5 linked regions of the Oryzias latipes genome follow. The protein of the gene in region 1 binds, or shares a complex with, the protein of each later gene. Links are inferred from orthologs where the notes say so. Each region holds a gene or a part of one and is shown in the gene's direction. Other genes may lie near its edges. The genes, in order: sumo1, E3 SUMO-protein ligase PIAS2, death domain-associated protein 6, RANBP2-like and GRIP domain-containing protein 8 and sae1.

Evidence for each region.
Region 2: the proteins of sumo1 (region 1) and E3 SUMO-protein ligase PIAS2 are in contact, whole or in part, in an NMR structure (PDB 2ASQ), measured with the Homo sapiens proteins. The link is inferred for Oryzias latipes from reciprocal best matches to the Homo sapiens genes SUMO1 and PIAS2. Residues at the interface, in NP_001005781.1 of Homo sapiens: Tyr21, Lys23, Val26, Glu33, Ile34, His35, Phe36, Lys37, Val38, Lys39, Thr42, Lys46, Leu47, Ser50, Tyr51, Gln53, Arg54; in NP_004662.2 of Homo sapiens: Lys466, Val467, Asp468, Val469, Ile470, Asp471, Leu472, Thr473, Ile474, Glu475, Asp479.
Region 3: the proteins of sumo1 (region 1) and death domain-associated protein 6 are in contact, whole or in part, in an NMR structure (PDB 2KQS), measured with the Homo sapiens proteins. The link is inferred for Oryzias latipes from reciprocal best matches to the Homo sapiens genes SUMO1 and DAXX. Residues at the interface, in NP_001005781.1 of Homo sapiens: Lys17, Glu18, Tyr21, Ser32, Ile34, Phe36, Lys37, Val38, Lys39, Thr41, Thr42, His43, Lys46, Leu47, Ser50, Tyr51, Arg54, Gln55; in NP_001135441.1 of Homo sapiens: Glu731, Glu732, Ile733, Ile734, Val735, Leu736, Asp738, Ser739, Asp740.
Region 4: the proteins of sumo1 (region 1) and RANBP2-like and GRIP domain-containing protein 8 are in contact, whole or in part, in a crystal structure (PDB 1Z5S), measured with the Homo sapiens proteins. The link is inferred for Oryzias latipes from reciprocal best matches to the Homo sapiens genes SUMO1 and RANBP2. Residues at the interface, in NP_001005781.1 of Homo sapiens: Asp30, Ser31, Ser32, Glu33, Ile34, His35, Phe36, Lys37, Val38, Lys39, Thr41, Thr42, His43, Lys46, Leu47, Ser50, Arg54; in NP_006258.3 of Homo sapiens: Asp2631, Val2632, Leu2633, Ile2634, Val2635, Tyr2636, Glu2637, Leu2638, Pro2654, Thr2656, Cys2659.
Region 5: the proteins of sumo1 (region 1) and sae1 are in contact, whole or in part, in a crystal structure (PDB 3KYD), measured with the Homo sapiens proteins. The link is inferred for Oryzias latipes from reciprocal best matches to the Homo sapiens genes SUMO1 and SAE1. Residues at the interface, in NP_001005781.1 of Homo sapiens: Asp30, Ser31, Ser32, Glu33, Ile34, His35; in NP_005491.1 of Homo sapiens: Thr179, Lys180, Val181, Ala182, Lys183.

What each region holds. Positions count from the first base shown.
Region 1 is NC_019860.2:9,898,884-9,904,640, reverse strand, and holds sumo1 (small ubiquitin-related modifier 1), read left to right. Parts: upstream 1-2,527; 5' UTR 2,528-2,548; coding exon 2,549-2,560; intron 2,561-2,934; coding exon 2,935-3,009; intron 3,010-3,261; coding exon 3,262-3,339; intron 3,340-4,151; coding exon 4,152-4,223; intron 4,224-4,299; coding exon 4,300-4,368; 3' UTR 4,369-4,389; downstream 4,390-5,757. UniProt on the Homo sapiens protein: Ubiquitin-like protein that can be covalently attached to proteins as a monomer or a lysine-linked polymer.
Region 2 is NC_019867.2:30,476,175-30,482,530, forward strand, and holds the start of E3 SUMO-protein ligase PIAS2, read left to right. Parts: upstream 1-2,220; 5' UTR 2,221-2,235; coding exon 2,236-2,315; intron 2,316-3,616; exon of another isoform or gene 3,617-3,653; intron 3,654-3,763; coding exon 3,764-3,936; intron 3,937-4,718; coding exon 4,719-4,806; intron 4,807-4,875; coding exon 4,876-4,926; intron 4,927-5,445; coding exon 5,446-5,536; intron 5,537-5,606; coding exon 5,607-5,741; intron 5,742-6,356. UniProt on the Homo sapiens protein: Functions as an E3-type small ubiquitin-like modifier (SUMO) ligase, stabilizing the interaction between UBE2I and the substrate, and as a SUMO-tethering factor.
Region 3 is NC_019869.2:15,999,786-16,006,019, forward strand, and holds the start of death domain-associated protein 6, read left to right. Parts: upstream 1-2,754; 5' UTR 2,755-3,056; intron 3,057-4,411; 5' UTR 4,412-4,439; coding exon 4,440-4,682; intron 4,683-5,045; coding exon 5,046-5,447; intron 5,448-5,566; coding exon 5,567-5,698; intron 5,699-5,770; coding exon 5,771-5,887; intron 5,888-5,971; coding exon 5,972-6,203; intron 6,204-6,234. UniProt on the Homo sapiens protein: Transcription corepressor known to repress transcriptional potential of several sumoylated transcription factors. Down-regulates basal and activated transcription.
Region 4 is NC_019879.2:17,104,186-17,109,615, reverse strand, and holds part of RANBP2-like and GRIP domain-containing protein 8, read left to right. Parts: intron 1-1,064; coding exon 1,065-1,241; intron 1,242-2,116; coding exon 2,117-2,197; intron 2,198-2,318; coding exon 2,319-2,491; intron 2,492-3,398; coding exon 3,399-3,648; intron 3,649-3,937; coding exon 3,938-4,024; intron 4,025-4,117; coding exon 4,118-4,269; intron 4,270-5,113; coding exon 5,114-5,387; intron 5,388-5,430. UniProt on the Homo sapiens protein: E3 SUMO-protein ligase which facilitates SUMO1 and SUMO2 conjugation by UBE2I. Involved in transport factor (Ran-GTP, karyopherin)-mediated protein import via the F-G repeat-containing domain which acts as a docking site for substrates.
Region 5 is NC_019871.2:4,087,093-4,093,248, reverse strand, and holds the start of sae1 (SUMO-activating enzyme subunit 1), read left to right. Parts: upstream 1-2,091; 5' UTR 2,092-2,232; coding exon 2,233-2,324; intron 2,325-3,645; coding exon 3,646-3,757; intron 3,758-3,954; coding exon 3,955-4,128; intron 4,129-6,156. Other genes in the region: zc3h4 (zinc finger CCCH domain-containing protein 4), read right to left, coding at 543-622. UniProt on the Homo sapiens protein: The heterodimer acts as an E1 ligase for SUMO1, SUMO2, SUMO3, and probably SUMO4. It mediates ATP-dependent activation of SUMO proteins followed by formation of a thioester bond between a SUMO protein and a conserved active site cysteine residue on UBA2/SAE2.

The sequences.
Region 1 (5,757 bases):
CGGCTGTTTTTACTGGATAACAAGCTAGCTGTGAATTTCCAAGTTAGCTTGAATTGTCCCGGAAGCTAACAACTGTTGCTAGCTTTATTTTGACATTTCATTGCGCTGTGACAGCGCACCCTTTGCGATTTGCTTTCGTTTGGACATGCAAACACAACAACAGCATGCGTGAACCCGATGGAGGAAGCGCAGCGGCTGCGTGTAGAACCAGTAGCTGTCAGGCCAGGGAAGTTGTTGTCAAGCTAATGCTAACAGCTAGCCGCAGAGATCATCGAAACTCGTCGGGTCAACACTGGCGTTAACAAAACACAACAGAGCCAACCACCGAGTCATTTCAAGCGACATTCATCTGTCATATAGTCTCACCTGTGGGTTGTTTGCACCGCGGTCCAACTACTCATCCACACGGCCGGTGACAGGAGCCCCGGGCCCTGCGGAGAGTCGCTGGGAGGAAGCAGAAGTTTGGCAGTCCGCTCTTAACTTCACCCCGAGTCCCGCTGGGCCACGACGACGAGGCCCGACGGCCGTCGGTTTATCCCGCACTTTCCGCGTCTGTGACCAAGACGACACGGTCGTCCAGGAACGCCTTTCCGTGTCTGTGCGCGACTGAAGGGCCAATTTAATCGACACCTCTCATTTCGTTGCACTTTACACCTTGGTTAACAGTGGCTCGGCTCGCCGTTGACCCTGGAGTTAAATCAAGCTTCATGAGAAAACACAATTCCTTATAACCGGAAGTACTTCAGTGCACCTACAAAAGTAAAAGCTTAAAGTGGGTTTCCTAATAAACATTGGCTTATTTATTTTACTTTGACAAAACCTCAACGGAATTAAGACTGCATTTAAACAAACTTCAATAGATGTGGGATCCTCGACTTCTAAATTTGTTTTGTTTTTTTTTAAAGAATGTCTACTATAAACTCTGCCATTCCAGAGTGATGGGGGGGGGGGGGGGCTTAAAAATGCCTTGTAAAAATCTAAAACAACAAGAGTATTTTAATTGACATTATATTAATTATCAACATGTGAAAAGTCTCTAATAAACTATGATTCTTCAAAGTTAGAATATTGAAGATTACATCAAATCAAACTTTATTTATATAGCTCTTTTCCTACAAAAGCACAACCGAACGTGCTTTGCACCAATACAAAATAAATAAATAATATAAAAACAAACACGAAAACTATATATACATTTAAAAAACGCCTCTCTCACCCTCCGCGGGTGGTTTCTCCTCCAAGCTCGGGTCCTCTACCAGAGGCCTGGGAGCTTGAGGGTCCTGCAGTATCTTAGCTGTTCCTAGCACTGCGCTTTTCTGGACTGAGAGGTCTGAGGTCTTTCCAGGGATCTGTTGTAGCCACTCCTCCAGCTTGGGGGTTACTGCCCCGAGTGCTCCAATTACCACAGGCACCACTGTCACATTCACTTTCCATGCTTTCTCCAGTTCTTCTCTGAGTCCCTGGTATTTCTCCAGTTTCTCATGTTCCTTCTTCCTGATGTTCCCATCGCTTGGCACTGCCACATCCACCACAACGGCTTTCCTCTGTTCTTTATCCACCACTACAATGTCTGGTTGGTTCGCCATTACCATCCTATCAGTCTGGATCTGGAAGTCCCACAGGATTTTTGCCCTCTCATTCTCTACCACCTTCGGAGGTGTTTCCCATTTTGACCTTGGGGTTTCCAGTCCATATTCTGCACACATGTTCCTGTATATTATTCCAGCTGCTTGATTGTGGTGCTCCATGTATGCTTTCCCTGCCAGCATCTTACACCCTGCAGTTATGTGCTGGATTGTTTCAGGCGCTTATTTGCACAGCCTACACCTTGGGTCTTGTCTGGTGTGGTAGATCTGAGCCTCTATTGCTCTGGTGCTCAGGGCTTGTTCCTGAGCTGCCAGGAGGAGCGCATCAGTGCTGTCCTGTAGGCCAGCCCTCTCTAGCCATTGGTAGGACTTCTTGATATCAGCCACTTCAGTTATGGTCCGGTGGTACGTCCCATGCAGGGGTTTGTCTTCCCATGAGGATCTGTCCTCCAGCACTGTATCCTCTGCTCTCCATTGCCTGAGACATTCACTGAGCACACTGTCGGCTGTCGACTGTTTCATCCTCTCTCTCTCTCTCTCTCTCTCTCTCTCTCTCTCTCTCTCTCTCTCTCTCTCTCTCTCTCTCTCTCTCTCTCTATATATATATAGTTATTTATTAAATTATCATAAAATGCTATTTTTTAAGCCCATGTTAAAAATATATAAATTTAATCTAAACATATATATTGCATTTGAATATTGAACAGGAGTAAAGACTTCATAATACTGGAAAAGGCAAGGTTTTTGTATGAGTGTGTGTGTGTGTGTGCGCGCGCGCGCTTTTCTTATGGAGACAATCCGCTACAAAACAAATTCCTTCACGCGACTTTTATTTTGAACAGCCCTGCGTCACTTCCGTTTGATGTCGCATTCCTCACAACATAAAGCAAGAGCCACCGCTAAAAGCTAACGCTACACCTTGAAGGGATTCCCTCCCCCTCCCGCACACAGTCAGGATAAACATGTCAGACACGGTAAGAAAAAGAACGTTGAAGAGTTCGAATGATTTTCTGTCAACACTTTACTAAGAAATCGATAATGTGTTTGTTATGGACGCTGCCTCGTACGTGATTATCTAACAACATGCTAACCGTTAGCTGTTCTAGCTGCAGGCCTCTGACTGAACTTAGCGATTTTTTTTTACCCTCCACGTGAGCTTTTGTGTAGTTTTTTGAGATTTTTTTTTGGGGGGGGGGTCAGAACTGGTGCTGGCGGGACCGAACCCACACTCGTGTCTATGGTGGATGTTCTCTGTGTTCGTGGAACCCGCGGAGTAAACAGACGGGCCTTCCTCGAAAGCGTGCTAGCGGTCGCATCATGTAGCAATGTTTTGTGATGTTTCTGTCAGGAGACGAAACCTTCCAATCAGGACGGAGGCGACAAGAAAGATGGAGAGTACATCAAACTAAAAGTGATCGGTCAGGTAGGTTGTTTTTGTGTCTCTGCTTTTGTTGTCACTACTGTCTGCATTTAGAAATAAACCGTATTCTACTCCATTTCAAATAAAGTTATGGCACGTGGTGGTGTCTCTATTATTGTTTATAGAAGGCTATTATTTTTGGTCAATGATTCTGCCAATTCTTTATCATTTACAGATGTATTCGTTTTAATGCTGGAAGTTGTTATTGTTTTTGAGCTGCATCACCTTTTTGTGTGTGTCCGTTTCTGCCCACAGGACAGCAGTGAAATCCACTTCAAGGTGAAAATGACCACACATCTAAAGAAGCTGAAAGAGTCTTACAGCCAGAGACAGGTATGAAGAGGAAGACGCATCGCCACTTTTCCAATGACAGCCTTCGCAGATCCATCCAAATGCAGTTCCTTATGGTAGAACACGCCATTATTTAAAAAAAAGATAACTCTGATCATCTTTTGATCTATTGCAAAAAATAAAAAGTTCCTAGTGATTTTTATTTATTTTTTTGACACGCTCTCCCGCTAGCTTACTAAGACTCCCAAGCTAATATTAGCAGTGCAACAAAAATGGCGAGCAATATCGGAGCTATCCAGCTGCACAGTTTGGATCCGGATGCTCGGACGAGGAAAATAAAAAAAAGTTACACGAGTCTATTTGTCTGCAAGGGAGCCTTGTGGCTTGCCGTAGTAGCTTTGGAATCATACCTGCAACCTTTTTCCAACTAAGTTTAATTTTGTCTGCTCCTGATTCACAACGATTTTAAATATAAAAAAAAAATAACCCAATTTTAAATGTAATTTTAAGCTTAATTTTCTTTAACCCTTGTGCTATCCTAGGCCCTTTAACATTAGGAGTTGGGTCATCTAGACCCACTAGACAGTGCGCTTAACCTTTCTTCTTCAATGATTTGTGATCTTCACTGGTGTCCATGGATTACATGAAATCTTTCCACTTTTGTCATGGTAGGGAGAACACGTCAATGTAAGGGTGGGGTCATCTAAGATAGCATAAGGGTTACACCTAAAAGCTCGTCTATGTAATCGTTACTCGTGCTCCTAGCGCCTCGCGGCGGCGTTCAAGGAGAGCTGATTGAAGGAAAAATAAAAATCTCCTAATGGTCTAACAGCAGAGGATGACGTTTCTTTCAGGGAGTCCTGGCGAGCACGCTACGGTTTCTTTTTGAGGGACAGAGAATCGCAGATAACCAAACCCCAAAAGAGGTAAGCGACACTCGCAAGAGCGAAAACCAAGCACTAGTGGTCACTAAGGTTTGTGTTTTCTTCTGTTTTTTTATAGCTGGGCATGGAGGATGAGGACGTCATCGAAGTTTATCAAGAACAGACCGGCGGACTTTGGAATCATTAAAGCCACAATTTCTGATGTTTTTTTTTCTTCTTTTTTTTCCCCTTTTATTCATGTTTTTTATCATTTGGTTTTGTATGTATGTATGTATTTCTGTTAAGTTTCAAACCATCTGAATCAAAAAAGCAAAAGGACTCAATCAGGGCTTCCATGTGTGCGGTCGGGGAGGCGGACAGACCGAGGACTCGAACCTGTGGCTCTGCCGTCGGAGGACACTCTAAGATTTTTACCGGCAACCATTTCGCTTTCGTGTTTTAAATTTTTATTTTATCAACCTTGCTGGAATGATGTGCTTTTGCAGGAAAATGGTTTTTAGGAGCTTCTTCCTCCCCAAAATGTTTTTTAAAATTGTCTCATAGAGGAAATATGTCAGATGGCATTCTGGGTAAGTGCGGTTACAGAAACCGTAAAAAGAAACCGATCAGAAGCATACCAGAGCGGCATGCTTCTGATCTTTCCATCTATTCAAAACAAAAAAAGTTGTTTTCCTGGAACGGACCAAAGCGTCTGTCCAAATGAAGGGGGGCGGGGCTAAACGAGGGAGCAGGTCCATTTCCTGTTGATCTATTCCACTCTCAGATGAGGTTGGGTCCTTCTTTTCTCCGGGTCGCCAAGTCGAGTGTTGGATCAATAAAGCAGAACCCGTTGCCCCCCCTCCCCTTCATCTCCCCTAAACTTCAGCTGCAGAACCGACCGAGGTGGAACCGTTCTTTGCACAGAACTTTGAAGAACTTTTCGTTAAGTTTTTCTGTTGATTGGTTAGAGGATTCGACAGTCTGCAGATAATGTGCCATCATTTATGCAGAACTCAATTTCTACAAAATAACCTTCCCACATGACACTTTAAAAAAAAAAAAATCAAGAAAAAAAAGAACTGTGCTTGTATATGTTGTGTTTATTCATGTAAGATATATTCTGTAAAATATCTCAAGCATTGTCTGTAATTTATGTTCAGGAGTTTCATTCTGGATTCAAAAGAACCTTTTTTGTTGTTTTGTTTTTCCTGCAGAAAAAAAACTAAACACTTTTTTTGTCCTCAATCAACCACAGGAAGTTCACCAGAATCGCTTTTCTGTTGTTTTTTTCGCATCCTAGAATGAAACTCTGCCATATGTCGTTCCTCAAGTACATCAGCTGCCCAAGCTGGTTTTGATCAAACCCCTTAGGGGTTGAGGGTTCACCTATGGCAGCCGCCGACTCGCCTGCGATCGTAGACTTCCATCTCTCAGAATCTAAACCTCTAAAGGATAATCTAATCTGAGATAAATAATCATGGCTGAATTCAAATGAGAGAGGTGTCCCTCCCCTACAATCGGTGCAGGCTGTGATGCGAGCCGGCTCGTCGCCAGTAGTGTTGATACAGATGGTTTGAAATTCTGGAGATGAGTGTTC
Region 2 (6,356 bases), on another chromosome or scaffold:
TTGTTTTGATTGGCACTTCATGTTAATCATTGGTGGGAAGAATGTGTTTGGGTCAGTCAGAACCTCCCATACATGCCCCCTGTCCCACTGCTGGGCCCGGCCACTCTAGAACACAAGCTCTCCGCCAGCCCGAGTTGGGTGGGGCCTCACTTATCCAGCTAGATCAGGAGAAGCTGGAGAAGGAGGCTCGAGCTCCTGGACGGGCCCAGAACCACGTGTCTATGGCGGCCAACGGCACATTGGTTGCCCGGACCGGATCAGGACACAGAGCGGGACTGCAGTGGCCTAAAAGCACCATGTAACAGCTGTTTAAACTGGTCCGATATCATTCATAATAAAGATGGCTAACCATTGGGCCCACTGTGTCCTGCTTCAGTTCTCAGGTGCTGTTATGGAACTGGACCGACCCGTGGGAGACCAGGGGACGGTGACAAATGTACAGTTACTAAAACTTTACAGCTAACAAATATGAACGCGGGGCTTTCTCTGCTGAAAGTCAAAAGTGATGTGATCACACACAGATCACCTGCTGGAGTAAATCCCACTTTTTCAGAAGGTCTTCTGGTTCAAAGTGAAGTCCATGCACCCTCAAACCACTGATCTAATGATCTGCAAGATCCTGCAGAGGTCAACAGGAGGAGTTCTGGTTTTCTTCTGCTTGAATCACGGTCATGTAAGGTCCACAGGAACTGTAGATGCATAAAATGTAAGGCCAGAGGTCGCCTTTGAGTAGTTCTGATCTCATAAGCGGACCTCTTTGAGGTCATGTTAGGTTGATTCAGCAGTCTGATGATGTAGTCAAGAGGAGTTCCCAGTGAAGAACAGATTCAACAGAAATTCTTCCTGAAGGGGTACCAGTGGGCTCTTTCATACAGCCTTGGTTTAGGACACAAGTTGACATCTTCCTGCCTGATTTTCAGAAATTGCAAAACTGAAAAAGATCCACTAAAGTCTCCTGCTTTAGACCCATTTAAAAAAAAGAAAAGTTATCCCCTAAAGAAATTCCAAAACAGAGGCTCTGACTGACCTCTGCTGTGTTCATTATTCAGTCAGCTGACCTGAAGACCATCCTTTTCTGACAAGAGGTCCAGCTTTTTCTGTGCTGGATCTAAAAGAACAGCGTCCTCAAAATCTCTACTGTTGCCCCGAAACCCCAGCTCATGTTTCAAAAGGATGAGGGTCCTTAAAAGGGTGTTTAAGTGTTCTCCCTCTACCTTCACATGTGGATGTTTTACTGACATATACCTGTTTTTGGTTTTTGCACCAAAAAACAGCTTAAACTTTCCACAGGTTACAATTTTATTGAGAATATTGGTTCTCATGGAAGTTGATTTGCAATGTCAGATTTTGACGTTAAAGACTCTGGTGTTTGATGAGAAGGTCTGCTCACGGTCCGCCGTGACCCCAAAGGCGTTCGTTCTGTCAGGGTTCTAGGGAGCCGTCAGCTTCTTCCACACCAAACCTTCATCCACGTCCACCTTCTTTGGTTTGCTGTCATGTTGGAACAGGAAGATGCTAGTCCCGCATTATAATCCTCCCTCCACCAAACTTGCCACAATTCTGCCAGATTTCCCATTCCCATGCCGACCACCAAACCCAGTCTAATCCATCAAATTTCTACATGGAGAGATGGGATTTGTCGTTTCAGAAAACGCATATTTACTGCTTCAGACATTAGTTCACATTTGGACAAAGCCTAGCAGCTTCAGAAAAGAAGTTTAGCCTGACTAACGGGTTAACCTGTAAGTGGTTGACCCTCGTGACCCCTAAAATGACGCTTCACTGAGTATGACCCCAGGCTGAGCTCTGCAAGTTAGATTAAACACACACAGTACTGAGCCTTTGAGGCAGCAGCGTCAGAATTTTCACATTTTTATTTATCTTTTTACCCGACCAGGGGCTGCATTCCTGGATGCTTTGAACACACCTGATCCAGGTAATCATCTGTAAGTAGGGGGTTGAAATATAGAAAACATGCAGACATACAGGCCTGGATGGAGTTCCTCAGTGTTTCATTCTAGAATCAGGTTTGCTCTGTTACTTAATAGTTTGGTAGCTTTAACATAATTTATATATTTACTCTTAATCAAATAATCGTTAGGATCATTGTTTCTTTTTTCTTTAATCCTACTTAATCAAAAATATTTTAAAGTGAAACAATTCTCTCTTTAGAACATGTTTTTTCGATTTTACCCGCCTCTGCTAAGAGGTCCCCGTTCAGAAATCAAATGACGCATGACGTCAGAAGGGCGTCGTTACGTCGTGCAGTATGTGACAGGAAGTCGAAGATGGCGGCGGGGAGCGGGGATTTTTAGGTAAGCAACAAAAAAGGAATGGAAAAAAACAAAAACAACGTCTCATGTGGACTTACAGCTCGGACGGCACCGACCAGAACAGATGGACTCAAACCGAACCAAAGCAGAAACCCCGTCTGACCCCGAGCTTAAGGCGCGAGGAGCCCAGTGAGCAGCTGTTAGCCTGCAAGCTAACACGCTAACAGCTGGGCTCCCACCGAATGTTTGGTTTTTGTATTTTATGAACTGGATGTTTACAGACTGGTTGTTTGACTGCTTAGAGCCTGGTTATAGAAGGCTTATTTCCTGTTTTTTGGTTCTTTATCTGACTATTTACCGGCTGGTTATTGTGGTTAAACCTACAACTGTTCTGACTCTGTTTACAACTTGAACACTGGGGCTTTACGGACCTTTTGGGGTGATTGTCACCCTTCAGTTGCCTTTATTCTTTAGGTTTTGTTCCGGAATTGACTTATTTTTTATTTTTATATTTGTTTTTTTGAACAGACTGGTCATTCAGCTTTTACTGACTGCTTACAGACTGGTTCAGTGATTGGTTACCTGTTCACAGGCTCTTTTGTAGTTACTTTTGCACTCTTAATTCTTTAAAGAGCTTTTTATACCCTCAGGAGTTTACTTACTTTGCTTATTGACTTGTCTAAAGCAGATTTATCTACTAGTGAAGATTTGCAGCCTGGTTATAGGGTGTTTGTTTCTTGTTTATAGAGTTGTAAGAAAATGATGACAGTTTACAGAACAGAGAGAACTGTGCTTCTAGTAGGGATGTAATCCATAGAGAAATGCTTAAAACATTGATGGAGTTAGAAATGACCAAGCTCTAAAATCTATCAGGGAGTAAAACAAAAAATCGGTTTCTTTGTCTGTTACTCTTCCTGTTGAGCTGAATACCTTCATACCTGAACAAATTGATATGACACCTTTTTTTAACCATAGGAAAAAGGTTCTAAAAGACTCAGACTCGTAGGCTTTAATGTTTAAAGCTGTCGCTTCAAAGACATTTTGTTGCTAAAAAAAATAAGAGTTTCTCTGTTAAAAGGCATTTTCATTTTTATTTTTCAATGATGACTAGATTGTATCCATTTAGATAAAAGTTAGTTGCATCTTTTGTGATCGATTCGTGTACCGTGTTATATTAGTGAATCATGTGAGACGACTCTAGCAGAAAGAGTCAAGATGTCTGGATTCTGTCGTCATGCAGTAGAAGTCTTCCAGCTGCAGCAGATGGGCTCAGCTTTAGACGCTTTACTGGCTGCTCCCTGGATATTATCACTTTTTTAACCTTTATTTTACCATCAGGTGGAGATAACCTGGTTTGCTTCTGTGCCCACATCACCAATGGTTGGTCCTATTGGTCCTGGGTGTGTTAGGGGCCGTCCTGGAGCCCACCTCAGCACCTCAGGGCTTGTGTAAGACTGTGTTGTAGTTTTTGTGTAACTGTTGTGTTTTAGCAGGAAGCACCCCAGTACTGCGGACCTGTTGGATCACGTGTGGCCCCACGCAGAGATCGCCATGAACCTGCAGCAGCCCTCTCCCCTCATTCCCCCCGTCCACCCTGATGTGGAGATGAAACCCCTCCCCTTCTACGATGTTCTGGACGTCCTCATCAAGCCCTCCAGTCTGGGTGTGTGATGTTTGCAGGGCTGACAGATGAGATCCGCTCTGATCTTTATTCCAGTCAGACTCCACAGAGACCAAACCAGGACGATGAGCTATTGGTTTCAGAAGAAAACTTAACATCAAGTTCTAAATCCCAGTAGGCAGCACCAGCCTGTCAATTCCCAGGCGTAACTCATGGGTAACACAAAAGAGTTGAACAGTTCCTGGCTGACAGCAAATGTTTCAGAGCAGTGACTTTATGTCCCACTTTGTAGAGCAGATGTTCAGTAGCAGTCGTGTCAGAGCAGAGTTTGATGTTTGGTTATATAGTCATATAAAAAAAATACCCCTTTTCTCTGTTTTCTCCATCTGGAATTCAGTAATGTTTCTTTATTCCCGATCAGTTACTTTATGGGATTTCATTTTCAATTTGGAATTATGTGGCTTTTTTTAGTCTGAAAAATCCAAAACAATCAAACGTTTCTTTGTGTTTCACCTTTGAACTTGGATCAGATGTTTTCCTATTTCAACCTTCTTAAAGCTGATTAGTTCCATATACTGTGGAACTTAAATCCTAGACTCTGTGACCCCCCCAACACACACACACACACACACACACACACACACACATACCTCGTAATGAAGTCCCTTTTCTGTTGGTGACTCCAGAGCTCTGACTTCGTCTAAAGGGTTTTGTCTTCACAGTGAATTATTTTTTAGACATCCCACCATGGCACTACCACCTCCGTGCTTCATGGTTTGATGGTGTTCAGGCGTTCGCTGACAGGGCGTGTTGTGTGTCTGCAGGAGTAAGCGCTGCACAGAGGTACCACCAGGAGAAATACTTCATCTTTGCCCTGACGCCGCAGCAGGTCCGGGAGGTTTGCATATCGCGGTGAGTCATCTTTGGAACATCGGCTACGTGACTGAGAGCCCCGTGACTGATTGTTCTTCCTCTCCTCAGGGACTTCCTACCTGGAGGAAGGAGGGACTACTTAGTTCAGATCCAGCTGAGGTAAGAAGTTTCAGGTTTTTATCATAATCTGCAGGTAAATGTTGCCATTGGGGTCCTCTGGTCCAATTCACAGTTCAGAATCAGAAATCTGCAGGATTAAGCACTCCTTTCAGCCAATCACAGCTAATCAGATCAGAAGTTCAGGGGGATCACAGCTGATTCGGAGAGGTTCTGCTGGGATCTTCACTCACCCACAGAGTCTGCAGATGGAGCAGAAACTGTAGCAGCGCTCTGTGAGGAAGAGCCTTTAGCTGAAAACGCTTTTACTTGAAGGGAGTTCTGGTTATCTGACAAGCATGTGTGGAAATGAGAGAAGACTGGAATCGCTTCGTCTAATTTCTCTGAGTTCCCAGACCAGGACTGCAGAGCCTGCGTTCGGGCTTGTGGCCTCCGCTTCGGCTGCAGCATCGTTTCCTCTGCAGATTAGTTCCATCATATGATCTCCATGGAGAAAGCCGACTTTGATGACGTGACAACCGAGCAGAGATTTCAGTTTCTGACTTCCTGCTGTGTGCTCAGGTTCTGCCTGTCGGAGACCAGCTGTCCTCAGGAGGACAACTACCCCAACGGTCTGTGCATCAAGGTCAACGGAAAGCTGTTCCCTCTGCCTGTGAGTACTCAGCCCCGCAGAACGTCAACCCTCTGAGGAACTTCACACCAACTGATCCAGCCTCTCTCAGGGTTTTGCCCCACCCCCGAAAAACGGCGTGGAGCCGAAGAGACCAGGAAGACCCCTGAACATCACGTCCCTCGTCAGACTCTCCTCCGCAGTGCCCAACCAGATCTCAGTGACATGGGCGCCGGAAATCGGAAAGGTGGAGCTCTTCTTGTAAAGTGTGATACTGTGGAAGTTTTTGTCATGTTATTTATTATTATTTCTCTGGTTTATCACATATTGAAGGACTTTTTATGTAGTTTTTGGTATTATTATTTTTTTCCCCCTGTATTTTCCGGACTATAAGCCGCTACTTTTGTAATCAACTTTCGACCCTGCGGCTAAATCAATGATGCGGCTAATTTATGCTTTTATTTAACGGCCGCCAGGAGCCCTCCAGCAGTCTCAGAGGGGAGACTGCCTGCATAATTCTACGTCCAGCAACAAGCGCGATGGCTTTAATACACACACGAGCGGCCAAACAGCATGGACCTCACTTCAGTTGTTAGACACTATAGTCATGGTGCAATAAAAGAAAAACCCATGCTCATCCTTTGGTGCCATTAGACCCAACGTGCACGTGACCGCCATTACAATATGACGCAGCTTAAAAATCCACCATCACCAACGGGTTTGGAAAAGTTGGTCTGCTGCCTGCCAGAAGTTTCCTTCACTGTTGTGGCTGTGCCGCGCAGAGCCACATAGAATGTGTGCCGCGCAGAGCCACGTAGAGCACGTGCCACGCGCGCTTATAAGTCATTGCTGCTCTCTTTTA
Region 3 (6,234 bases), on another chromosome or scaffold:
GAACGCCTTCAGCCCCGTGTACCTGCAGGCCGACTGGTTTTCAGCCTCCTTCCATGGCGTGGATGAACAGCGGGGGGTTGCCACCATCACACGCGCTCCATCAGGAACCAAGGAGCACAGCGGTATTTACTGTTTGTCTTTGAAACAGCCAAAGGTTTAGTGCGTCTGCCTCACAAACGTCTGTCTGTGTCCTCAGTGATCCTGAGCCTGACCAGTACAACCATGACGGCTCAGGCCAGGCTGGGGCAGCCGTTCACGCTGGACTGCAGCTTCTGGGCCGACCCGTTGTCTCCTCTGTCAGAGACGGGCTTCGCCGTCGAGTGGCGGTATCAGTTCAGAGGTGACGGCCGCCTCGTTCTGGCCTATGATGGTAAGACGGACCGTCTGGCTGACACTTTAGAGGAGGGGGCCACGCTGGACTTTGAGGCTCTGCACGAGAGAGGAAACGCGTCGCTGATCCTGCAGGAGACCAAAGTGCAGCATTCTGGGACGTATATCTGCTCAGTGTTCCTGCCGTACCTGCTGGCTCAGGTGGCCATGGAGCTGGAGGTCGTAGGTGAGAGGAAGGATCGAAAAGACATTCCTGATGGAAAAAAAAGATTCTGTTGATGGAGAACCATATGCGCTTTTTTGTTTCCATGTTTGTCTAGAACCTCCATCCCTCTCCATCCACCCGTCCCCCCTCCCCCTCGCCGTCCCGGGTCAGGTTTTGAACATCCAGTGTGAAGCCTCCGGCTTCGTCCCTCTCCCGGTAGACCTGAGCTGGGAGTTCAGAGGGGCAGATGGGAAGAGCCGGTCCCTGGGGTCGGGCAGCATGTCGGGTCACCGGCAGGCCTGGGACGGCACCTACAGCCAGAGCACCCGGCTGCAGCTGGACACGTCCAAGCTGGACCTGGGCAGAGGGGGGGAGATCAGCTGCGTCGCTGTTCACCGTGGCGGCACGCGGCGGGCCAGCGTGACCCTCAGTGTGATCGGTAACCTCACTTTTATCGTCACACGCTCTGAATTATTTGGATTCTAACATTTTTCAATAAAGAGCTGAACATATAACGTATGGAAATGTTGAATTATTTGAATGACGGGTTTGTGAGTTTACCTTCATAGCAAAAGTGTTGAAAAGTGTTTTTGGTTTTACCTGAAGGGTTCAGCTCGCCGTCCATCGAGGACTCCATGGCGATGGTGGGTGTGGCCTTGGTGCTCTACGGCCTCATTAAGTTTGCTTCATGGACTTTTACCAGCTCAGGTACCAAGACAACATCATTGTTCACTGAAATATTGAATATGTTTTAAATGTGCCGTCATATGGGAGTTTTTGGTGTAAATAGACATTCCTGACTTCTCCACTCGTTGTTTTCAGGATCTGATGAGGCTGCTAAACCCAACAAGGCAAGTTCACTCATTTATTTACGTAAATGTTAACAGTCTTTCACTCTTGTGAATAACATCTGTTATTTCTCTCACAACAGGATAAGTGATGACAAAGCAGACGTTTGTCACTAAATCATCAAGGTGTCTCATACTTCTGATGGGGTTTCATGTGCAGCTGTCCAGCTCTTTGGTGCCTTTGGTTGATTGGTTGCTGGTTTGGACCGTACCATTTTTACAGAAAATTATTTGACCACCCCTTTCTTTTAATGTTCTTATCTTGAAAGCATGACATCATAAAAACCGAAAGAACGCTTCAAGTTTCACTTTGGGGATTTCTAAACTGTGACTGGAGGCTGTGTTTTGTTTTGTTTTTTGAGAAATATGTTTCACTGAAGATGCAAAACAACTGTCCTAATTAATAAAGTAAAGCACGTTTGTAAATAGGAAGCCCAGAATATTTGTACATTGTATTACAATTAATGAATGTCTGTCTTTTTTTGTGTGTTTGTCAAAGTTCTGCTGAAATGTTGACAAAATTGTTGTAAAAATTCCAAAAATAAAAGGTTGTAAGAAGTCATTTTAATTGTGCTTTATCTGTCCATTTCTAAACGTTTATTATACTTGATGGCGTGGTTCTCCAAGTTAACTCTTCTTACATTTGGACATAATATGCATCATGATTAACCATGTTTTAACCAGCTCAGTGGCCTTGTGGTAGAGTGTCTGCCCTATGACTGGAACGTCGTAAATTCAAATCTAGGCCGAGTCATACCACAGACTCTAAAAATTGACACTCAGCATTAAGGGGGTGAATCCAATCCAGTTCCTGTGTACGGTTGTGTCTGCTGCTCACAGTCAAATGCAGAGAACAAATGTGTGACATGTAATGGTATTAACCAGGTTTAAAAATCACTTTATTATGCCCTACAAATGAGGAGTCTGAATGCAAGAAAATAATCTAGAATAGAGGAAATTTAAAGCTAAAACAACTGCAGCTTACGTAGGCAGCTAAATAATAGACATACTTTTATTACATCTTTTAGAAAAAACAGCTGCAACTTCCAGCTTTTTCTGCCACAATCATCACAAAAATGCATGTGAGATTGCGGAGGGACTGTACATCATGCAGACTATGAGTTGGATGCTGATGTGCCGCGGGATTTTTGTCAAGGATAAAGCGTGCTTTGGCTCTAAAAAGGTTGAAAAACACTGATCTAGAGCGCTCAGACACTCTGCAGTTCACTGTTTTTTCCACTAAATGTCTGTTTTGTTGGAGAGTGTACTCACAAATCGTAACGGAAGATCCGTAGAAGAAGACGTAGTGTTGTTGTCTTCCACTCTGGCCAATAGCAGACATTTTTACTGGATCTTTATTCTTTCCACCAATGAGAGGCCTTGGCATTGGTCTGAGTGTCGCGGGCACATTTTCGGTTTCTAGCAGTTCGTGGAGCTAAATTTACGAGATCTAAATTAGCCAAAAGACTTTGCTATCCTAAAAAACGCATCCATGAAGTATTAATAACTTTAATCTGTTAGTTAAATAACCAGGAAATCATGCCGTTTTTCCTATATTCCGTTTGGATTTACAAGAAAAGTTACAGTAGCTGCTCTGTTGCTAATCTTAGCTTAAAAACTGCTGTGCGTTCCTGAAGAGCAACATTTACGTTTCTATTGTTCCTGAATAAAAGGTGAGTGTTTTAATAATATGCACCCAGTCGTGTTTTCTCAGAATTATAAGCACCGTATCTGCCATGTTTTGTGATCAGTTTTTACAAAATTTCCTTTTGTTTTCACTTTAGATTAAGTTCTGTTGAATATTCGCCTTCATTTTTTTTCGTTGACCAGAAAACTACGAGAGAGACAGACTCAGGATGTAAAAGTAAACAGGAAAAAATTTTGGTAATTAAAGTTGATGTAAATCAGATAAGGCTACTAGACAGATTTTTTTTAATGTTGAATAATCAAAAGCAAAATAGACATCAGTGCTATTTGTCGTCGAGCCATTTCATTTTTGCATTCCGAGCATTTTCGTCTTAAAAATAAGTCTAATTTGTGTCGATCAGGCAACAGAAAAGTGCCATTTCTTTGTCTGCATCTCGGTATTTTCAGGTCAGCATTGCAGCCGTGTGGACGATTATTATTGCAGTGTTTTTATCTTTTTGGATCTTTAATAATCCTGTTTCACTGTGAGACGTTTTTGTCCACATTCTCACCAGATACCGTGTTGTGTATCTTTCTCTCTCAGCATCTCAGTACATCATGACCCATGCGTTGAGATTTTCATCTGTAAAATATATAACTAGCTTTGTGGCAATACAGTCCAATCCTTTAATGAATAAAATCTAGATTTTTATTATTCATTTGACATTTAGAACTATAAATTCAACAGCTTCCACGATTCAAACCTGCATTTAGGGCCTTCTAGACTGTTCTGTTCTTTATGGTTAAAACATCTCATATTCATTTATTCATACATTGTTAGAGGTGCTGGGAAAAAGGAGGGCTAGTTTTGTGCACACAACATCCCACTTATTTATTGTGGTTCAGTTAGTTTTCATTGATAGAAGCAGGCTTGTGATTGGACGTCTTGTGTTTTGGTCACTCGTGAAAAGGGCAAAAACAGTAGAGTCCACACCACGAAGAGAAACTGACAACGTTTACCAGAAACAACGTTTTTTTATTCCTGATGAATTTTATACCTTTTTACCAACATAATCATGTGTTCATATCTGTGGTTTTCATTGGACAGACAACTGTGCTTCCATTCAGGCTCTATGGGTTTGTTTATAAACATTTAAAATAAAATAAGCCAATTAGTAATAGATTTTTTTATATAAATTGATTTTTTTGGACCCCTGATAAATTATTAGTTGCTGGTTTTTGTAACAAGGACTAAACAGTAGGAAATAAGTTGTGAAAAATGTTTTTCACCACTGACCCCCCAATATTTACTAATATATGAATAGATTTTTGAAATCAATAATCCTTCCACGTCTTGCTTCTGTACCTTTTGTCACGACCAGCGTGTTTTTCCTGTTTGCAGATTCACAGCAGAATCCGTCAGGGTTTAGATGGCGGTGGCTCCTGCCTCAATGGGAGATGAGATCATAGTTCTGGATGAAGACAACGAGGACAGCCCCCAGCCCTCTTTTTCCGCTACTACTCCCTCCTCTGATCATGGCTCCAGAAACGCCTTACCGCCCAAAGGTCAGCACTTGGTGGCCGTGCACGCCGCCATGTCCCCAAGTCACCAAGTCTCAGGGAAGAAGGAAGCTCAGGGTCTTCTAGCTGAGAATCAGAAACTGTTCTCTGAGGTGAGCTGCTTCAGGTTTTTACTGAGCCCACCCTCTCTTCTGTGGTCTTCTTCAACTTCTAAAATAAAGAATATTTTAACACCCAGCAGGTTTTTGTTTGTGCTAATATTGCTGATATCTACTGTTTTTTTCCTTAATATTTTGTGATAAAATATGTTTTTATGTGCTTCGGAATAGATTGTTAGAAACATTTAAGATGTTAAATTGTTGAAAGCTTTTACAGTTCATCTGTTTGACTTTCTCTGTGAGTCACAATTGAATCTTTTTCTGTTTTGTAAAAGTCTTATAAAGGTGTAATATGAAAGGTGTAATGATCTGCATGATTCATCTTCAGTGTTTGATTCTCTCGTGTCTTTCCTGTAGTTTGTGGAGCATTGCTCCGCTCAGACCAAGGAGTGCCCGGAGGTCCTGGAATACCTGCAGCTGAAACACTCCAAGACGTGTCCAGAGTTTCTGTCCTCTGTGGAGTTCAGGAACACTCTGAAAGGATGTCTAACTCGCGCTCAGAACAACCGCTCCAAAACCTTTGTCTTCATCAATGAACTGTGCACGGTGCTCAAACAGCACAGGGATAAAAGGAGACTGACCCTCTCCAAGGCGGCGCCCTCTACCTCAACATCAGCTTCTGTTCAGTCTACCTCCGTTCCCCCTAACAGTGAGAAGAGGAGTGACGAAGAGCAACCTTCTACTTCTGGAGTGCAGGAAGACAACAAAGAGCAAGATCAAAAAGAGGAAAAAAGAGCTAAAAGGGCCTCAAGGAAACAGGTCGGTACAGACAATAAACCTAAAAAAAAAAAGACAGTCAGTGTTAATCCTGTACTTGTTTTATTCCTGAAATCAGACGATGCCAGACTAAATATCTGGAGCACATGTCTCCCTCTCAGATCGCGTACCTGGAGAATCTCCTAAAGGTTTACAACGATGAGATCTTCCGTCTGCAGCAAACTGAGCTTAGCCTGAATGACTTGGAAGCTGAAGACTCCATCTACATCCAGGAGCACAAGCTGAAGCGGAAGGTCTGATGCACATCTGATTGTGGAACAAAAGGTCAAACGGTGTTTGGTAACAGGCATTCATTTCTTTCCCAGTTGATGAAGATCTATGAAAAGCTGTGTGAACTGAAGGGCTGCAACACGTTAACGGGCCGAGCCATTGAGGAGAGGATCGAGTACAAAAGCACTCGATACCCTGAGATCAACAAGAGAGTGAGCTGACGGCTTTAAAGGTTTCCCTAAATATCTTGGAACATAACCTCCCAGTTCCTCGTTTATCTTTTCCTCCTTTGTTAGATCCAGCGCTTCATCAACAGTCCCGAGGTGCAGAAGAACCCTCCGGATTATCAAGACATCCTCCAGCAGGTTCTGCGGGCCAACGAGCGCCACAACCTGTGCTTGAGCAAGAGCCATCTGAACCAGATCGCTCAGGAGGCCTTCAGGGAGACGGGCGACCTCCTGCAGAGGCGCCGACTCAACGACATGTTCTACAACTTTGGCTCTCACCTCACAGACAACTACAAACCCAGTGAGACTCCCAGCTGAGAGAAAAGCTGCTC
Region 4 (5,430 bases), on another chromosome or scaffold:
TGTTTACAATGTTTAGTTTAGTTTGTATGTTTGTTTTGATATTTCCCAGATTACTTAGTATTGGTGTTAAAGAATTGATTTATTATGTTATAGAATTATAGTTTAAAGCAGATCCCATATTTTGATGTAATTATAGTTTGAGAAAACGGTGCAAGTGGATGTTGTACATCAGTCATTTCTAAAGCAGAAATAATGTATAAATAACTGAGGTATTTTCATAGAATATCATAGTTACTGGTGTTCTTTTTGCCATTTGGGGCTTTGATGTTACTATATTTTAGCAATTGTATGTTTTGCAGCTTTAAGGAAAAGCGTAGATTGTAGGATTGTGTTACTTTGAGCAATTTTCCAAATTCTTTTTTAGGACCAGCAAGTCCTTAATGGAGAGTCAAACTAGGGGATTGAATGACAAATCATGATGCTCCAATTAGTCTTAGTTTCTTGATAAAGAAGTGAATAACTAGTTGCCAGAATGCACCAGAATGCATCTAAGACCACGTATTTTTCCAAAATTTCGCTCTGTGCCCGCCATATCGCTCAAAGAAAAGTTCAGGGATTTTTTCCTTGCCTGACTTTCATCACTGTTATTAAAACTCTAGGCTTGTGTAAAGCTCAGTGGTTTGGAGGTTTTGATGACCAAACGTGGAGCAGAAGTTGCGAAAGCCAAGCATCTGAAATATGAGGAGAGCAGAATCAGTTCCTTTATAGCGGCACGTCCCCAACAAACGTCACAGGGCTATTTATGGAGCAGGAAGTGTAGCAACAGCACGGACTGTAATTTCCTACCTGGCCTGATGTCTGTTAGCGATGTGCACATCAGCAAAGACTAATTAGGGATTTATGTTTTTGTTTGTTACTCTATTATATGTTCAGAAATGAATAGCACAGTTCTTTAAAAACAAAGGTAGATATTGTCTGACTGGAGCAATCTGCATGCAGTATATGCTTAAAATGTGTGTGTGTGTCTAACATTTGTGTATACTAAGACAAATGCACAGAAAGGGGGTTTCTTTTGTCTATAAATGAGTTTTAACTCTGCTGTTTTTGTTTCTTTTTAATTCCAGGTTCTGCTCAGGCAGCAGCGGGCAGCTCACGGTCGGAGGAAGACTCTGAGGTGGAGGTTTTGTATGTCAAGGAGCCCACTGCTGAGCAGGCGGCTTTAGCCAGGAAACTCCTGCTGCCCCTCACCTTTTTCTGCTACAAGAACGAGCCAGGTTACACCAGCGACAGTGAGACCGACGGTGAGACAAAGGACTCTGGATTTGTACACTTGCTGTATCACAATGCGTTATAATTATCAGCATCATATTATAAGGCGCAAAAAAAAAGGTTTAGTTGAACTTTATTCCACTATTTAACAATCCACACTCACAATAAATTTTAATCAATCTTCTCCCACACAACTGTCAACGTCCTTATGTCAACACGCCAGGTTCCCTCTCATCGTTGTCAGGTGGCTGTCCAGCAATAATGCCGACTTTAGCGAAAGCTCAGACAACTGTTACAGCAGATCCTTAAGCCCAGCCATGCAAGGCACTGCCTCCCAGTCTTAGTAAAACTCTGTACGCCGTCAGACATCCATTGAACAAAGATGTGCACTCTATTCAGCTTTTTCTCTGGTGGCACCGGGAAGGCCTGAAGAGGACCTCGCTGAGTGTGATTGAACACTAATTCAGCAGGACTGAACCCGAGTCACATGCAGGAAACATCTGGAAAAACCTGCGTAAAGCTTGAGCGGATCGCTGTGCGCCACACGCCGTACGCGTGTGAGGAGCGCTGAGTTCTTGCCAGAATCACTGTTTTTGACCCACCTGTGTCCCTCAAAATGCACACGGTGCGCTCATCCATGCGCTCGCCGCTCCTGTGTTGGCGAGAAATGGTCCAACAGTCAACTGAGCAGAGCGCTTCCCAAAGTCACAACATTTTGATAGATTTTGGAACTCTGTACATAAAGATGCTCTGGATTATTAGGCGCATGGTCAATTTAAAAAAAACCCCAAAAGTTTGGGTTTTTAAGTGCACCTTATATTGCGGAAAATACCGTGCAGATTTCTGATGATCTTTTTCCCTGCTGATGATTTACTTAACATTCAATTGAATTTGTTTGAATTTTCAGATGAAGACTTTGAGTCAGCAGTAAAAGCGTTAAATGGAAACCTCTACCCGGATCCTCCTCAGGCTGCAGCTTCTGATAACGGTACGATTGTCTTCATCCATGACAATTAATTTTTTTGTCTTTTTTTTGTTTTAATCTGAACCTTTGGAAAGCATTAGTCCCAGTCACTATTTTGCACTAAAGGTGTTGATGCTGCTTTCAGACTCCTGTGAGGTCGTGTGGGAGAAACGGCCAACGCCAGAAGAGGAGGAGAAAGCAAAGAGTCTGCAACTTCCCCCCACGTTCTTCTGTGGCCTGAGCACCTCTGACACTGACACCAACCACGACAAGCAGGAAGACTTTGAAACAGAAGTCCGCAAAGCACAGCATGAGCTGGTAATCGACCCAAAGACCTAAACCTGAGCTTTTTAACAAACTGACTCATGTTCTTAATGACATTGAAGGACTAAATATCCCTGTGAACCATGAGAAGCTGCAGGAACAGACAGAAGCAAACAGCGGTGTGTGTAGTGGCTGATGAGGAAACTGTAGATGGGTTTAGTTATCAGCAGCTCCAGCTTTTCACCTCCTTCTGTTCAAATGGAGCTGCTTTCACTGATCACTGTTAACCTACGATCCACACATCCACACACATCCAACACTCGAGTTTCTACGGCTGTTTTTGGTCTCCACGTTCAAAAACGCGGTCATTGAACAGGCGTTGCAAGATAAAGCAGTTACATTTTGACAAATCAGGGACTCCGATTTAGTAGTGATGTATGGATGGCGTCCCTTTTAACTCACAATAGTTCAAATCGTTTGAAAGTTGACCGTGGAAGAGAAATGAATAATTGCAGTTTGTTCCTCAGATGAAATTCTATGCCACCAAGTCTTTCCTTTATCGGAATAAAGCTGTGAAAGAAAAAAGATGGAGCAAGATTCATGACATTTGTACCAAGCCTCTTCCAAATGTGTAGGTGGCGGACATGCGGTAATGAACAGTAGAAAAAGGAAAGGAAGCCCCGCCCCACTTGTCCAGTGTTGAACACCATGGCTAAATGCATCATGTTCAAGAACGTTCTAAACGTGTTCTTATGCACACAAATAACCTGAATTTAAGATCCTGGTTCTTGAGGGATTTTTAACTCTTGGGACTAGTGTGACCTGAAAAACCAACAATAGTTATTTAGATTTTTTTTCTTTTATATTTAAGAAATCCTACACGTTTTGGTAAATGCACACATGCGGCTGCGTGAGGAAAACATTTTTCTCTGAAGACTAACACTGATTTACTTTGTCTTAGGCTGGTCAGTCAAAGAAAGCTGAGAAAAGCTGGAGCCGTCCAGCTGCAGCTCTTCAAGACCCGAGCTCGGTCCCAGCATCCAGCTGTCCAGAAGCAGCCGCCAGCGGAACCGCAGTGGAGGGGCAGACCGCAGACCAGCCAGCAGAAAGTCAAAGCAGCAGCTGTCCCATCGACCTGTCCACCAAGAAGAGCTCAGAACCAGAACCCGGTTCTAGTACAGATGTTTCTGACTCTCCAGCAGCTGCTCAAGGTCAGAAATGATGTCCGTTTTAATCAACTGTCCTTTTCCTTGTTTTCTGTCCTCTAGCCAGCTTATCGCCAAATCCCACTAGTTTATAAAATCAAAGATTTCCTTTTTATACAATTGTCTTTTTGCATTTTCTGTTTTTTTGTTTTATGTTCTTCTGGTGAGCTCTGATGAAACATCAGTCATTCAAGGATCATAAAAGCCTCTTTTTTTTTATTAAGTTGTGAAAACTTTTCTACAGACAAAACTGAGAAAAACTGTTTCATATGTTACGACTTTGTTCTTATTTCAGACTCCAGCTTTGGTTTTGACTCACTCGCTGGATTCTCTTTTGCTGACTTGGCAAAGAAAACAGAAGGCTTTGCGTTTGGAAACAAAGGTTGACTTTTTATTTTCATTTTTTCCAAATAAACCCTTTTTTTTTGTTTTTTTAATTCCAAATTAAATGTATCTGTTTTTTATTTTCAAATAGATTCTGACTTCTCCTGGGCCAATGCTGGGGCAATGGTATTCAAACCTCCTGTGTCCTGTGAACCTAAACCCAAGACAGACGATGGAAGTGATGAAGAGGAGGCTCCTACCAATGTGGACATTCACTTTGAGCCTATAGTGTCTCTGCCTGAGGTGAAGTGCACAAACACTCACAGACTCACACATGTCCCCATGAAAAACTGGAGAAAAAAGTAAAACTTGGAAGCTACAGCTTGATGCTGCGTTCACACCCGACACGATTCACCCGTCAAATTCGCATCTGCTGCCTCTCTTTTGAAACATGTCAAATTTACTGCTGGACGCCCCGGCCGCGGAGAACCCACCAACGTTTTTCTGGCCTTGCCACATCATGGAAAACATGGATGATGTTAAGGGAATTTTTTGGGTTCAATGTTTTGGTTGACACGCCACGTCAACCTCGCCACGCCGCAGGACCTCAGATTGCGTCTGTACATTGACGTACCATTGAAACTCGATGCCTGGAATGAATACAGTATAACAGGGACATCTAGTGGCCAACTGAAGACATAGCAACATGTAAAAACCCTGACTGAAGTTTTTTCTTAAATCTGATTTGGGCAATTATATATTCAATAAACAGTGTGGTCCTTATAACTTATTGTTTTTATATATACATACTAATAAATATTTAAAATATGAATATATCTTAAAATTGAAATCATTGCAGATCTTTGGTCAGAGTCTTAAAAAATAATTCCCAAACATTCATTCCACCCAAAAAATAAGAGTAAAAGGAAAGTAAAAGTAAGTTGAAGCTTATTCAGAAAATGGCTGTAAAATAATGAATTTTGGTTTAAACAAAAGTTTATTTGTGCAATTAGAGGTTTATGAATGAAAGTCAGAACGTTTTAACTGTGACAAAAGGATTTAGATTAACCAAAATAAAAAAGATTTACCTAGTGAGTCAACAAACAAAACCCTAATTATAGTGTTTTTTGTGCTCTCTGGCTTTCAGGTGGAGACCAAGTCCGGAGAGGAAGATGAGGAGATCTTGTTTAAGGAACGAGCCAAGCTTTACCGGTGGGACCGAGACCAAAGCATGTGGAAGGAGCGAGGCATCGGCGACATCAAAATCCTCTTCCACCCCAACAAACGGTTCTATCGAATCCTGATGAGACGAGACCAAGTCCTGAGGGTTTGTGCCAACCATACCATCATCCAGGGAATGGAGCTAAAGCCTTTGAACACCACAGCTAATGCCGTGGTCTGGACTGCCACAGACTACGCAGGTACCTGCAACTCCGGTTTGGTAGTTGGTGAATGTCTGTCGCT
Region 5 (6,156 bases), on another chromosome or scaffold:
CAAAATTCATTTCGACGACTTTAGCCGTTAGCTTAGCCTTTGTTCTGTTAGCTAGGTTAGCATGCTATCTTTAGCCGTCAAGCTAATATTGTCTTAAAAAACGCCGTTTTCATTTTTGTTTTTTCAAACACAAACGTTACCAAAAAAAATAAAATACAACGCAGGCTAAGCTAACGTAAGTTAGCATTTTCGTGTGGCAAAAGTCCGATTCTTTGTCATGACAGAATTGTGAAGAAAACTCGTGTTTTTGGTCTTTCGACTTGGGTCTTTTTTCCTTTAAAAAAAAAGGTCGCTTCGGTCGTTTGGTCGATGATTGTGAAAATGTAAATAAAATACGGGGAATAGCGTTATTCCTTGTTCTTTTGGCCTTCCAGTTGTCGCACCAACATGGCCGTTGTCTTTACCTCTGTGCTCGTTTTCCAGTTTAATCCCTTTGAGAAAAAATGCAAAACAAAAAAAAAAGAGAGAAACCCCGGGCTTTTGTGTAAAAGCTCAGGACAAATAAATAATTTCATTTAAATATGATTGTAGAATTACTCGACCTTTCGTCAGTCAGGAGACTGTTGTGTTCGTGGTAGGTAGTTGGGGAGTTTGGATGGACAGTCATGCTTTCCACAGCCATTTCCTCTAGCTACATTGAGGTGCAAAAAATTACAACTCGACACTAGAATCTACTGGCTTATGCGTCACTTCACTAGGATCTACTTGTTTTGTTGTAGGAAGAGACTCAGTTCATAGTAGGCAACTCTCCACAACAGTTGTAAGAGAAATATGCTGAAATTGAATCCTGACGTTCTCCGTCCTACTGTAGCGACGTGAATTGACGACTGATTATCTTAAAATGGCCGATCGTCTTCTCCAAAGAAATAAGGGGCGGACTTTCCGAGTCGAAGATCGTGACGTTGGCGAGTCACGAAAATAACCGAAAGACAAAGCCAGGCTGTTCGTGTGACCCGGAGTTTGTCTTGCAGGCTGAAATGAAAGCTACCAAAACAAAATAGCGCAAAAATGATAGCTTTTTGAATTTAATGCTTTTCAAGACTACACGTAGACAAATAATAAAAATAATTATATTTAAAAAACATACACTTAATTTTAAAAAGCCGGAATTAAGTGGTTTAAAATGCCAAGGAGCACTTAAAGTTTCTCCTCAAAGACCCACTGCGATGAAAATTGTGTTTTTGACATGTTTTTGTAGCGTTTTCCTCATGATAGAGGACATAAAAGGGCAGTTCTTTGTTCAAATCTTTGTGATTAGAAAGCAGACAAAAATTGGAAAACAATTTATTATGTAGATAATCCTGCTCTGCTAATTTCAGATGAATCCAGTTGCAGACAAATAGATTCATAAACATCTTTATTTTCGTTATCTGAGCTGGAATCTGGCTCAGAACTGTCTGGCTGGATAGTTTCAATATTGCTCAGCATTTTTGTTGCACCGCTTAACCTTTTTTCCAGTTTTTCAATCTATTTGTCAAATGTAAGGTTTACACGTCTTTACAACAATTTAACCAAATAGTGCTTATTTGGACAAAAATAAAGAGGTTAGTTTGTCATAAAATGTATCTCAGGTTTTAGTCATTGAGCTAAATTACTGGTATTTTCAATATTATTGATACGTTTTATATTGTGCTAGATAAAGGTTTTGATCAGTGAACTAAATGTAACTAAAACATGGTACCAAGTTGTTTCAAATTTAGCAAGACAGCGACAGGAACGATATGTCACCCTTTTCATTGGGAGTTTCCTTAAAGACAATACTGAGGGAGTTAGAACAACGTGTTCAAAGGCACACAAAGAGAGAAAGAGAGAACGAAAAATTGTTTTTTCATCAAACAGAAACATCAAAGGAGCTCGGATCAGTTTAGTTTAGCACATTTAGCAATAAAGAAATATACTTTAAATACTTCTCTGCTTTCGGAAATCAAATAATTTAAATTGGGGGACAAAAAAGAATTTTTTCAAACATATATGTTATATTAATACAAATATATACATGATATATAATATACAAATTATTGACATAAAAAATAAAGGGTTTAAAAATAATTTCAAAAAGATGACAAGTGATTATTCTTTAGAAAATAGTCTGTTGTTTGTTTAAATGACGTCATAACCCGGCGACCATTCAGCGGGACCGTCGCCGCGTTTGAATCGAACTGGTTTGGCCCCTCTTCAAAAAGCTAATATTCTCCGAAAGGGAAGACTTTCCTTGGGAAGAAATCAATCGACATGATTGAAAAAGAGGACCCGATCATCAGCGAGGAGGAAGCGGCGCAGTATGACCGCCAGATCCGTCTGTGGGGGCTGGATGCCCAGAAGAGGTGAGTTAGCTTAGCTAGCCTCGGATGCTAACGGTTCCTCCTGGGTGATTATCATTATAACTCACTTTATTGCACACTCAGATGCGGTCCATAAAAGAAGACAGAAACAACATGCAAAAATAATAAATAAATAAATAAATACATAAAAAAACAAAATTACAGTTTACACCCATTTAGAGTATAATCTGTGCCCAGTCTGTCCCCAGGGTGGAGGTGTAGCGGCGTGAGCTTCCCCTGATATCAGCATGATAATTGCATTCTTAGACTTGTCCAGGCGCCCCATGAGGCTGTCAGCTAATAATGTAGTGGTGTTTCACAGGTGGGGATGTCATGTGAGCGTCCATAAACAGCTGACTCGCTGTGTACCACCTGGGCACCCGTAGCAGAAGACCAAAAGGCATCGCTATAGGCCACTGTAGATTTACAGAATGCCCCACGTCCATAATTCCACCACCGAGGAGTGCAGTCAGCTCTGAACAACGAACGCTACACTTGAAGAGAACACTTTTTGAATTTTCTCATCAGCATATTTGACTGAGCATACAGTTTACAGTCTCTGAATGTCTCTGTCGTCCAATCATCAGTGATAAAATGTCCAAGATATTTGTTATATGAGGTTCCTTCCAGAGGCTTTCCACAAAGCTGTAAAACAGGAAAGTTTACCTTTTTGTCATCGTTGGTCTTAACAATCATTATTCTGCTTTTAGAAGGGTTGTACTTTATATCAAAGTCTCTGCCGTGGTCAGAGCAAACTTTTAAAAGTTTTTGTCTCCCCGCACTGTAAGGGCAAAAAATGACAAGGTCATCAGCGTACATAAGATGGTTAAAGGTTTGACATCCAAAAACACACCCAGGTTTGCACAGATTTCACTTCGTAGAAAGATCATCAATTTATACATTGAATAAAAATGGAGAGAGGATCCCTCCCTGTTGAACACCATTGCTTACCTAAAATGGCTCAGATAAAACGTGAAGTAAAAAATGAAGTGATGTTTTGCTCTGAGGTGCAGAAGTTCCTGCTCCTTTCTTCACCTCCTGGATCTCCTCCTAAGCCTTCTTTCCACTGAAACGCTGCAGCTCAAAGGTTCTGGTCCTGTTCTTTGCCAGAACAGCAACGCTGCATCCCTGATGTTTTTGATTTGTTAAAAATGTTCTCCAGAAATCAGAAGTTCTCCACGATCCAGACTCAGAGGAAGAAAAACTCTCTTTTTCTTTGTCTTTCCAAAAGTAATCTTCCATATTTTTCACCTTAAACCCGTTTGGGACTGGCTTTCTCCTCTGGAACCTCCTTTCAGCAGCGTCCTGTTTGTGGCTTCTGCAGGTTGCGGGGGTCCCGGGTTCTCCTGGCAGGCCTGGGTGGTCTCGGCGCTGAAGTGGCCAAGAACTTGATCCTGGCTGGAGTTAAAGGTCTGACTCTGCTGGATCATGAACAGGTAAACACAACCACACCAGCAGCTGGGAGGCTTTTCCTTAACCCCATTTGTCCACAAGAAGCAGCTCCGTGTGAAATGTTGAACTCAATAAAATCGATTATTTTATCCTTTGACCCCCAGACTGATCGAACTGGGTTTGGTTGGGTCTCAAGAGTCCAGTTTTTATCCCACGTGGATTGACTTTCTGTTTCTTTTAGGTGACAGAGGAGTCGTGTCGAGCTCAGTTCTTGGTTCCGGTGTCTGCTCGAGGTCAGAACCGAGCCCAGGCCTCGCTGGAGCGAGCCCAGAATCTCAACCCGATGGTGGAGGTGCACGCCGACCCCGGGAGGGTCGAGGACAAACCGGACGACTTCTTCCTGCAGTTTGATGCTGTGAGTGGAAACAAAAGAAGTTTATCTAAAACCAACCAATGAGTTTGAATTAATATTAAAGATTTACTGCCCACTAAAAAAAAAAAGATTCAGTTTTAAAATGAATTTTCCATTATTGTAATTCCAAGTTTGACCACTAGATGGAGCTTAAAGCCCACATTAGCATAAACACCTTCATCTTTAGGCAGCACATTCTACACAACAATGAGATCAGCTCATCTTTAAAAAAAAAACTAAAACCACAAAAAAAAGAGTATAGCATAATTTACATGAACATTTAGATAGAATACACAAAAAATGTAGGTAAAGCTATGAAAGGTCGTGTCGCACAGCCACATTTTGTGCACATTACACAGATAAAAGTTGGTCATACATGAAAATATGTAGAAAAAGGGGAAAAGTTGTGGATCTTTACGGGAAAATTTCACAGATGACTAACACTAATGAGCCACGTCAAAACCACGGAAGAAGTACGAATAAACCACGCAAAGAACCCGAAAACTAACGTTAAATCTTCAGTGTGCCCAGACATTTGTGCGACAAAAAATTTGAACGTGATATGTGCGACAAATACGAGATATAAAAGCTATGTTTTGGCCCTTGACGGACATCTGTCAGGAAACACTCATGAATTATCACGCATGGATCACGAAAGACCAAATTTTCATACGTGGAAAATGTGCAACGTGTGCGTAGTGAAAGTATTTGTACTTCTTCCACGAACCCAAACCGCCAGCGTATACACTTTCAGTTCTGTCCCAGACCCCTGCTGTGATGTATCCTATGGGACGGTTCAGAGCCCAAATGTTCATTTACGTTCGCTTAATTCCTTTTACACATGTGACGTGGGAATGTGGCCCCGTTCACGAGTTTTGGACTGGAATTTCTAAGATATTGTTTGATTTAGTAACAGAGCCTGGTCTCCGACATTGGTCATGTGGTCAGCGGCGGCGGTGCCGTTAAAATTCAGAGTTCTGGGAAGGTGAACGAACGCAGGGGCGTTTGACCCCACCCAGACATTTGTATTGTTTTGTTTTTCAGTTGGCTACATATCACAGCCCCCTTTTTTTCCCATAGTCAGCTATTATTAGGCATATCAATAAGTATACATGTGTGTCTTTATTATTTTGTTTAGACGTTGTAGAGAACCCCTGGGGGCTGCCGTCATTTTTTGGATGGTTTGAGTTATATCCTGAAATTTCTTTTGAAATAGTTCAATAAGAAAAAAAAGTGTGATCATAAAGGAAAACCCATAAAATCAAATAGATGGCGAGAACGAAAAAAAACCAACAAGAAAAGGTTAAAGATGTGATTTAATTCCGGGTTTCTTGTTGGTTTTTTGGCATTAACACGAACCTTCGGTTTGGTTTGGACGTGGCGTTCTGAACTCTCCTGTTGTGCGGAAATAGAAACCCCCCCCCACACACACACAGACACAGACACACCTTATCACAGTGTGGCAGTAAAATATTCAAATGTTCAGCAAACGTCGACCCCCGTCTGGCTGCCGTACGCTCGGCCGCAGAAGCTTATCGGCTCCACATCAGCCATAAACTCCCAACGGCGTCGGCATCCGCCGCAGGTGGAGCGTCCGGCCGCTCAGCAGCTGCTCTGCTGCCTGGACCACTCTCCAGTCAAAGGTCACCTGCAAACCTTTTGTCTGTTTGGTTTTGATGGTACGGATTCCAAACCCGTTTGGGTTTTGCATTTCCTCCAGGCAAACAAAGTGGTGGAGGCTCCTCCCTGACAGTTAAAGCCGCCTGATGGCGTCCCCGCCTCCAGATAAGCATGTTGATGTTCTTCATCGTCCTTCAGAACTGACTCCATCAAAGCAGTTTGAAGAGTCTCAGATTCTACCAAAGGAGAGAAATCGGAAAAAAAGTGAAAAAGTTTCCAGATTCTAGTAAAGAAATGTCTTTTATCCTGCTTTTCTTGAGCTTTTCAGGGTAAACGTTTCCCATGTGAATGATAGTATATTATCTTTGGCTCACTACAGAAAGATTTTTTATGAAATGAGTTCTTTTCACA